2 linked regions of the Canis lupus familiaris genome follow. The main gene of each other region encodes a partner of the protein of the gene in region 2 in a complex. Links are inferred from orthologs where the notes say so. Each region holds a gene or a part of one and is shown on either strand. Other genes may lie near its edges.

The links.
Region 1: the proteins of RNH1 (region 2) and ribonuclease pancreatic precursor are in contact, whole or in part, in a crystal structure (PDB 3TSR), measured with the Mus musculus proteins. The link is inferred for Canis lupus familiaris from reciprocal best matches to the Homo sapiens genes RNH1 and RNASE1. Residues at the interface, in NP_001165571.1 of Mus musculus: Cys7, Asp32, Thr60, Asn89, Asp117, Glu145, Tyr146, Asn174, Glu202, Trp257, Trp259, Glu283, Ser285, Trp314, Lys316, Glu340, Glu397, Ser401, Asn402, Gln426, Val428, Tyr430, Asp431, Ile432, Tyr433, Trp434, Thr435, Asn436, Glu437, Arg443; in NP_035401.2 of Mus musculus: Arg26, Glu27, Lys32, Gln36, Pro48, Thr49, Gln53, Lys56, Arg57, Met60, Asn62, Gly63, Ser64, Cys65, Lys66, Pro67, Val68, Asn92, Lys94, Asn96, Leu111, Lys112, Gly113, Asn114, Ser115, Lys116, Asp121, Ala134, Glu136, Val143.

The regions. Positions count from the first base shown.
Region 1 is NC_049236.1:18,162,775-18,166,393, reverse strand, and holds ribonuclease pancreatic precursor, read left to right. Parts: upstream 1-1,534; 5' UTR 1,535-1,620; intron 1,621-2,269; 5' UTR 2,270-2,297; coding exon 2,298-2,753; 3' UTR 2,754-2,970; downstream 2,971-3,619. UniProt on the Homo sapiens protein: Endonuclease that catalyzes the cleavage of RNA on the 3' side of pyrimidine nucleotides. Acts on single-stranded and double-stranded RNA.
Region 2 is NC_049239.1:25,962,986-25,967,489, forward strand, and holds the start of RNH1 (ribonuclease inhibitor), read right to left. Parts: upstream 2,969-4,504; 5' UTR 2,861-2,968; intron 1-2,860. UniProt on the Homo sapiens protein: Ribonuclease inhibitor which inhibits RNASE1, RNASE2 and angiogenin (ANG). May play a role in redox homeostasis. Required to inhibit the cytotoxic tRNA ribonuclease activity of ANG in the cytoplasm in absence of stress.

The sequences.
Region 1 (3,619 bases), on a different chromosome or scaffold from region 2:
CTGACTCCAGAGTAATTGCAATTGTCACCCAGCAAAAACAAGTCTTTCTAGGAGGTGTGAAATTGCATAAAATTTCTGGCCATGACCGACTCCATCTTGAAGCTCCATTTTCCCTTTTAATGAACTTTTGAATTGGGCCAGGCCCGGTGATTGTTTTACAAGCAGTTTCTTATAAAGTCAACGGGACACCTGGCATCCTGGATCATAAAACTGTCAGTGTGGGCTTTCGGGTGACCGAGTAATTAATCAACGCATATCACGAAGAGTGAGGTTTGATAACACCAACCGGTTAGTCGATCACAGTGTAAATAAGCACGGCTCAATCTGCTAGTGCCAATCACGGTGTTTTCTCCTTCTCCTCTCTTATTCAGGTCAGGTGTTGGCCCCCCCTCGCCCTCTTCCTCCTGGGACCCCTGCTCTTCCTGTGAGGCAGGGCGCTTCTCTGAGTACTCTGGAATCTGTGCTCCAGAAAATGCAATTCTGAGATCCCCCAATAAGGACTTTTGTTCTTTTTCAATTTTGCCTCATTTTCTCGGTCTACAGAGGGAATTCTGCTGCTAAGAAATATGACGTTCTCTATTTTTCCTCCAAAAGGGATTTTTTTGGGGGGACACCTCGGTGGCTCAGCAGCTGAGCATCTGCCTTTGGCTCAGAGCATGATACTGGAGTCCTGGGATCGAGTCCCACGTCGGGCTCCCGGTGCATGGAGCCTGCTTCTCCCTCTGCCTGTGTCTCTGCCTCTCTCTCTCTCTCTCTCTCTTTCTGTGTTTCTCATAAATAAATAAATAAAATCTTAAAAAAAAAAAACAAAAGGGATTTTTTTTTCTTAAGTAGTTTCCACACCCACCATGGGGCTCAGACTTGAGACCCTGAGATTGAGAGTCCCACGCTCTACCGACTGAGCCAGCTAGACATCCGTTGGGGGTTTGGTTTGGCTTTCATCTCTCTCCTCAACTCTGACCTTACAGGAGTGGTTGCTGTGGCCGAGAACTGCCGCACGTTCACCTGCCACCCCAGGAGTGCTCAAGTGGCCAGCACCGGGCGAGCCACAGGTCTTCTCCTCCCCGCCAGGGCACAGCCCCAGGTCTGCACAGGCTTCCAGGTGGGGGTAGCTAAACGCCTCACTCCCTTCTCCCCGGAAGAGGTGCTGTTGGAATGCTAGCCATGCCAGGGCTCCTGGGGAGAAAGAGGACCTCCTTTCTCCCCCGCTGCTCTGGTGGTCACATGTTTATGAGTCCTTTGCTAACCACCAAGCACTATTTGGTGAAAATCGCCCCCTGAGATTACAAGGGCCTTGCTGGGGTTCAGGCATCAGTACCCTAGTGGCTTTCTCCACTGCTCCTTGGAACCAGCAAACAGATGAGGTTCATATAAAGTTCCTGTGGCCAAGCCTCACCCTTCCCAGCAGTCCTGAAAAGAGTGGTGTGGATGGTTCCCTACAACGTCCCCTCCTCACAATGTCCTTGTTTCCCTCTACACTGAAACCAGGACGCTCCTCCCACCCATCTTTTCTTGGAAGCCAAGCCCCTTTGTAATCTGTATAAGATTCCCTCTCCAGGGATCAAGGGATTGCAGAGACTGGCCTTCTGCTCTCTCCTAGAGACCACGCTAGAGACCCAGGTCAGTGGCCAAAGACGTGGTCTCAGGGGCTCTTTCTGCTTCTGCATTGGATTGGAGGGACCAGGGTTGGGGAGGATAGAGCCTGAGAGAGCCTGGGGTAGGCAAATATAGGGTTGAGCACGCAGGCGGCAGGGAACCAAGGGCACTGGGGGAGCCAAGCATCTGTCTTGGGGCTACAGTGGCATCCCTTTGTGATGCCCGTGTCAGGCACGGGGCTGTTTCCCTTGTGGCGAAGGACAACAGGCCTCTGTCAGTCATGATCCTGGACACGTGATTGCATTTCAGGGATGCAATGTAGCTCATGGTTTATTCAAAAGGATTTTCTAATGAGCTGCTTGAGCACTGGGTATAAGTGTATTTATCTTTCAAACATATTTTAAATTTAAAAATCTCTAGTATTCAGACACAGGATTGTGGGATTTTAGTTCACTCTGGAGGTCACCCCCAGAGGGGAGGACCGCCTCTCCTTAGCTAGCGGGAGTTCAACGCCCTGGAGAGTGGTGCGCGTGGCTGTGTCCTTGCCGGGAGAATTGCACAGGAGGAGGTGTCTCTCCAGCTGCCCCAGGGGGAGGCTGAGAGTGGGGCAGCCACAGGCGGGAGCTGGGGTTCTCCCCCTGAGGCGGCGCTTGTCCTTCTCTCCCCTTCCCAGCTAGGCTCTTCCAGAAGGCGAGCCCGCCATGGCTCAGGAGAAGTTCTTGGTGCTGTTGCCACTAGTGGTCCTGGCGCTGCTGGGGCTGGCCTGCGTGCAGCCTTCTCTGGCCAGGGAGTCGAAGGCCATGAAGTTCCAACGGCAGCACATGGACTCGCACCCCGCCGCCATCAGCGCCAGCTACTGCAACCTGATGATGAAGCGCCGCAACATGACGGATGGGTGGTGCAAGCCCGTGAACACCTTCGTGCACGAGCCTCTGGCAGACGTCCAGGCCGTCTGCTCCCAGAAGGATGTGCTCTGCAAGAACGGGCAGTCCAACTGTCACCAGAGCCGCTCCCAGATGAACATCACCGACTGCCGCCTGAAGAACGGCTCCAAGTTCCCCAAGTGCGTGTACACGACCACGCAGAAGGAGCAGTACATCGTCGTGGCCTGTGAGGGGAACCCCCACGTGCCAGTGCACTTTGATGCGTGTCTGTAGCTCTCGGCCTGAGGCCAGAGAAGCGGGCGCCCTGTCGCAGGTGGCACCTGCTACCCCTCCCCTGCCTTCCTGCTCTGGGGAATCCCTGCAGCCGGGGCTCCTCCGGCTTGCTCCCAAACCCGGGCTGCCCTGCCCAGGGCTGCTCCGCTTGGTCGGGGGGCGGGGGCCCCATGTTAGCCACCTCACCGCTTCTTTCAATAAAGCACAGCTGTGCTCACCTGGGTTTCCCACGCTGTCGCCCTCCCGGTACTGCCTGTGTGATCGCTCCTGCAGGAGCTGCAAACCTGGCTGTAGCTTTGGGAGGCATCATCAGCTCATCCGAAGCCTTCTCTTCTGACGCTTGGCTTTGGTCACCCGAGATCATCCCTTGTAAACCGCCAGGCTGCTAAGCGAAGGCTACTGGGGATAAAAGGGGGCTATAGCCTGGGAGTGGGTGCTGGGTGAGCGGCCCGGCAGCCGAATGCAGAGACAAGAACCTCTGCCCGGAAGGAGGGTAGCCTCAGGAAGACCCTGCGCCGCCCCTGGGTGCGGGGAGGGATGTGGGAAACCAAGATCCTAAATTGTCATTTTCCTTTTTTGGGGTGAGCTATTACTAATCAGAAGAATGGCCATGTCTTAGCTGGAAAGTCAAAACCTTCAATTTAGGAGCCAAAGGGGACTGTAGAGATAATTCCGTTGAAGGAGAAAAAGTAGATTTTGGCTTTTGTATCAACTCCATTCGAAAGGGTCCGCCTAGAATGCTGTAGGAAAAATTCTTTTTTTTTTTTTAAATAAAGATTTTATTTATTTGTTTATTCCTGAGAGACACAGAGAGAGAGGCAGAGACCCAGGCGGAGGGAGAAGTAGGCTCCCTGCGGGGAGCCCGA
Region 2 (4,504 bases):
GAGCAGGCCAAGTTGCCAGGGGCCCCCCCGAGGCCCCCTCCACCCTCACGCAGGAAAGGGACGGTGCCCGGTTTGTGCAGAAGCCACTGAAGCCTGAGGCTGCTGGAGAACGGAGCGAAGCAGTGGGCGCGGGTGGAAGGTGCCTCGGGTGGAGGGGGCCTCCGCTGCAGCGCAGCTCCAGCCAGCTTTCACGTGGCTTTGTTTTCTTCAGGCAAATACCCAGAAGGGGCACCTGGGTGGCTCAGTCAGTGAAGCACCTGCCTCTGGCTCAGGTCATGATGTTAGGGTCCTGGGATGGAGGCCAGCAGCAGCTCCCTGCTCCCTGGAGAGCCCGCTCCTCCCCCTCCCTCTGCTGCTCACCCTGCTCTCACTCTCTGTCAAATAAAATCCTCAAAAAAACAAAAACAAAAACAAAAAAAATAGGATTACTAGACTGTATGGTGCACTACCTTCCACAGTGGCTGCACCAATTTTCACCCCCACCAACACCGCATAAGCATTCCCTTTGCTCCACATCCTCACCAATACTTGTCATGTTGAGTTTTGCCATTCTGACAGGTGAGAGGTGGGAACACACTGTGGTTTTGATTTGCATTTCCCTGACGGTGAGTGAGAAGCATCTCTCCATGTGTCTGCTGGCCATCTAGGTGTCTTGTTTGGAGGAACGTCTGTACAGATCCTCACTCATTTTTTTTAAATATTTATATTAGAGAGAGCAAGCGAGCACAGGGGTTGGGTGTTGGGCAGAGAGAATGTCAAGGAGAGTTCACAAAGAATGCAGGCCTGAGCTGGGGCTCAATCCTGTGACCTAGATCATGACCTGAGCCAAAACCGAGAGTTTGGCACTTGACTGAACCACCCAGGCACCCCCTTGACCCATTTTTAATTAGATTATTTGTTTGGGGTTTTTTGTTTTGTTTTGTTTTTTAGTGTTAAGCTCTTCATATATTTCAGACGTTAACCCCTCATCAGGTATGTCATTTGCAAATACCTCTCCCATTCCATAGGTTGCCCTCTCAACCTTTGTTGATGATGGTTTCCTTTGCTATAAAACATGATTTTTATCACATAAGCACTATGTACCCTTTATAGGAAAACCAGAAGACAGAAATAAGAAAATAAAAGGCCCTAGCTTGCCCGCCTTCCAGAAACACAAAGGCTCTGACATCTATGTATGAGCTCCTGCTCCTCTGTATGCACAATACACATTTAAGAAAAATAATAATAGGGGATCCCTGGGTGGCTCAGCGGTTTAGCACCTGCCTTTGGCCCAGGGCGTGGTCCTGGAGTCCCAGGATCGAGTCCCACATCGGGCTCCTGGCATGGAGCCTGCTTCTCCCTCCTCCTGTGTCTCTGCCTCTATCTCTCTATCATAAATAAATAAATAAATCTAAAATAATAATAATAATAATAATAAGCTACTAGTAATGGTAGGCAGAATAATGATCAAAGATGATTACATCCAAATCCCTACTTTACATGGCAAAAGGGTCTTTCCAGAGGTAGCTAAGTTAAGGGTTTTGAGATGGAGGGATCATTTGGATTACTTGGGTATGCCCAAAGCAGCCACGAGGGTCCTTATAGAATGGAGGCAAAAAGGTGAAAATCCGAGAGCTGTGAGCATGGAGGCAGATGTCCTTGTGGCGTGGCTAAGCTGGAAAAGGCCAAGAAGCAGATGATGACCTGGAAAACCTGGAGGGAATCAGGCCTTTGGATGCTTTGACTTGTCCCTCTAGCACCCACGTCCCACTTCTGATCTAGAGAACTGTAAGAGAAGAAATCCTGTGACGGCAGCAGGAGGACACTGATGCAGCAGGAGCCGCTGTATTTTCCACCAAAGAAGAGAAATGTATACAATGTATACACAAATATACAGGCACACTAATCCACATGTAACAGTCTAACCTTTTTTTTTTTTTTTTTTTTTTTTTTGACATTCTGTGTGTCTGAGAAAGAGAGCAGGAGCAGGGATCCCCGGGCAGGACTCCGGGATGGGGATGGGATGGTGCCCTGAGCCGTAGGCCTCCACCCCCGCGCCCCGGGCGCCCCAGCAGGCCTAACTTTAACGACCACACCGTGCATCCACGTCGCTCAACCATTTCTGCAGGCTGGCACCTGGATTTTCAGGCCGGAGGCTTCTCAGCAGGCCCCCGGGACACCGTCCTAGAGGGGCCGCCCGGGCTCCTCGGTGCCGTCCCACTTGCGCTCCCGTCCTCCGCACCGACTCGCCCCCAGCTCTCGGCAGGGCTCCCGCGGGACCGGACGGGGCCGGGATGCTGGGGGGGGGGAGGGGCGGCCACGCCCAAGGCCCAGCATCCCGCGCGGCGACCCGGGAGGGTCCTCCCTGGGGGTGGGGGGTCCTTGGGGAGTAGGCGGCGAGTTACCCAACTTGGGGGAAATGTGGGCTGAGCCAGCCCTCGCGCCGCCTGCCGGGCGACCACACACAGGGGTCAGGCCGCACCTCGAGAAGGCAGAGGGGAACCCCCGAGGCGCAGACCACGCATGCGCGCGCCCCGGACCCGGAACTCCCAGCGTGCCCCGGGAGGCAGGCCGGCGGCAGGTGCGCACGCGCAGGGGCGCTCTTGGACGCCCTGACGTCACCGCGGCGCCCCGACAGCCGCGAGGCCCCGCCCACCCCGTCCCCCAGCCCGGCGCGCGCCCCCAGCCCCCGCCGCACCCCGATCCCTCTCCCGGCACTCGTTTCTCCGGCACCCCGCCCCCCGGTGTCGCTCCAAGAGCGCTTCAAGTCTGTCCTGGGCAGCATGGCCACAGCAGTGCCTGGCGCGCGTCCACAGACGACCCGGCCAAGGTCGGCGCCGTTTAGAGCGGACCCCGGGCACGGACCGCGGCAGTGACTGACCTCCAGAAGACGGACCGCGAGGAGCGGCGGGCTACCGGCGGGGGCGGGGCCTGACAGGGCGCGGCCTCGCTGCTGCGTCGGGGCAGGGGGCGGGGCCTGGGCGATGGGCGGGGCTTTGCGTGGGCGGGCGCGGGCTCGCGGGGCGGGGCCTGAGCGGCGGGGGCGGGGCTTTGCGTGGGGCGGGGCCTGAGCGGCGGGGGCGGGGCCTGGGACCCGGGCTGTGCATGAGGAGGGTGCCGGCTGGCGGGGCGGGGCCTGGGGTCGCGGGGGCGGAGTCAAGGGGCGGGGCCTCGCAGGGGGCGGGGCCTCCGTGGCCGGAGTTGGGGTCTCGCTGCTCCCACTTGGCGGCCGGGCGGAGCGGTGGTCCCAGCGCCGCCCTCCCCGCGTCCCGCCCGGGCAGGTGTCCTCGGACGCCCGGCCCAGGCAGTGACATGAAGGTCACCGGGCTGGGGGCTGGGCTGGGAGACGTGGAGCAAGGTGCAGGCCGGACGCTGCACGGCGGTCCGCTGCGGAGCCCCGACTCGGTGGTGCCGGGCTGGACAGACGCAAGGGTGGTTTTGTGAGATTCGTTGGAGCAACGTTTGTCATCTTTGGGCGCTGTTCCATTTATCTAACGGCAGAAACTCTGAATAATCCTGTGTCTTCAAATGCATTCGTGCAATAAACACTTGTCTGAGCCCTTTGTGCGCGGCTGTGCTTCGGTGCTCGAGGTTCAGCACTGGGCCGGGCCGGGGCGGGGGGTGGGGGGGGTGCGCGCCCCCAGGGGAGTCAGCGGCCTGTGAGGAGACGGCGCCAGAGCGCCCCCAGCCCGGGAGCGCCCGTGTCCGCTGCGGCAGGAGGGAGCACCGGGTGCTCAAGGAAAACTGGCTTTTCCTGAGAACTGACTTCTCGAAGCGCTAGAATGTGGCCAATTTTAATAGAAATTGTTTATACTATTCACTTTCCTGTACCCTAGACCTAGTATACTGACCGTGATCAACTTCTAGACTTGATGTCAGCGCCCTTTGGCCTCCTGTGGCCAGCAGCACTGCAGGTGCCTCAAGGAGGAAGGGCGGCAGGTGGGTGCTGCGGAGGGCGGCCGGAGTCACAGGGGCCCGGCAGGCATTACAGGGGCCCGGCAGCAATTTTTTTTTTTAATTTATCTATTCATTTATCAGAGAGAGAGAGAGAGAGGCAGGGACACAGGCAGAGGGAGAAGCAGGCTCCATGCAGGGAGCCCGGCGGGGGACTCGATCCTGGGACTCCAGGATCGCGCCCTGGGCCAAAGGCAGGCACCAAACCACTGAGCCACCCAGGGATTCCCCCAGCAGCAATTGTTTTGCTGAAATGTGGTGCTGCTCGCGTGGTGCTGCTGCCACGTGTTCCCTGGCTCGCTGTCCCCGTTTCCTGCGTCGTTTCGGGTATAGGGGCCATATTGGTCAGAGGTTGCTGGGCCCGTGCCCAGAGTGAATAAACAAGCACAGCACCGGTTGGAAATGTTCTTAGACGAATAAACAGCACGGACCCTGGTACATAAACGTTCGGACCAACGTCGTGGGTGCAGGCGGGAGGGCAGGCCGTGGGCTACCCCAGTGGTCAGAGCTGACATTCTGGGGGATGACGTCTGCAAACGGGACTGCGTGCCAGGGCCAATCACCGGCTGCA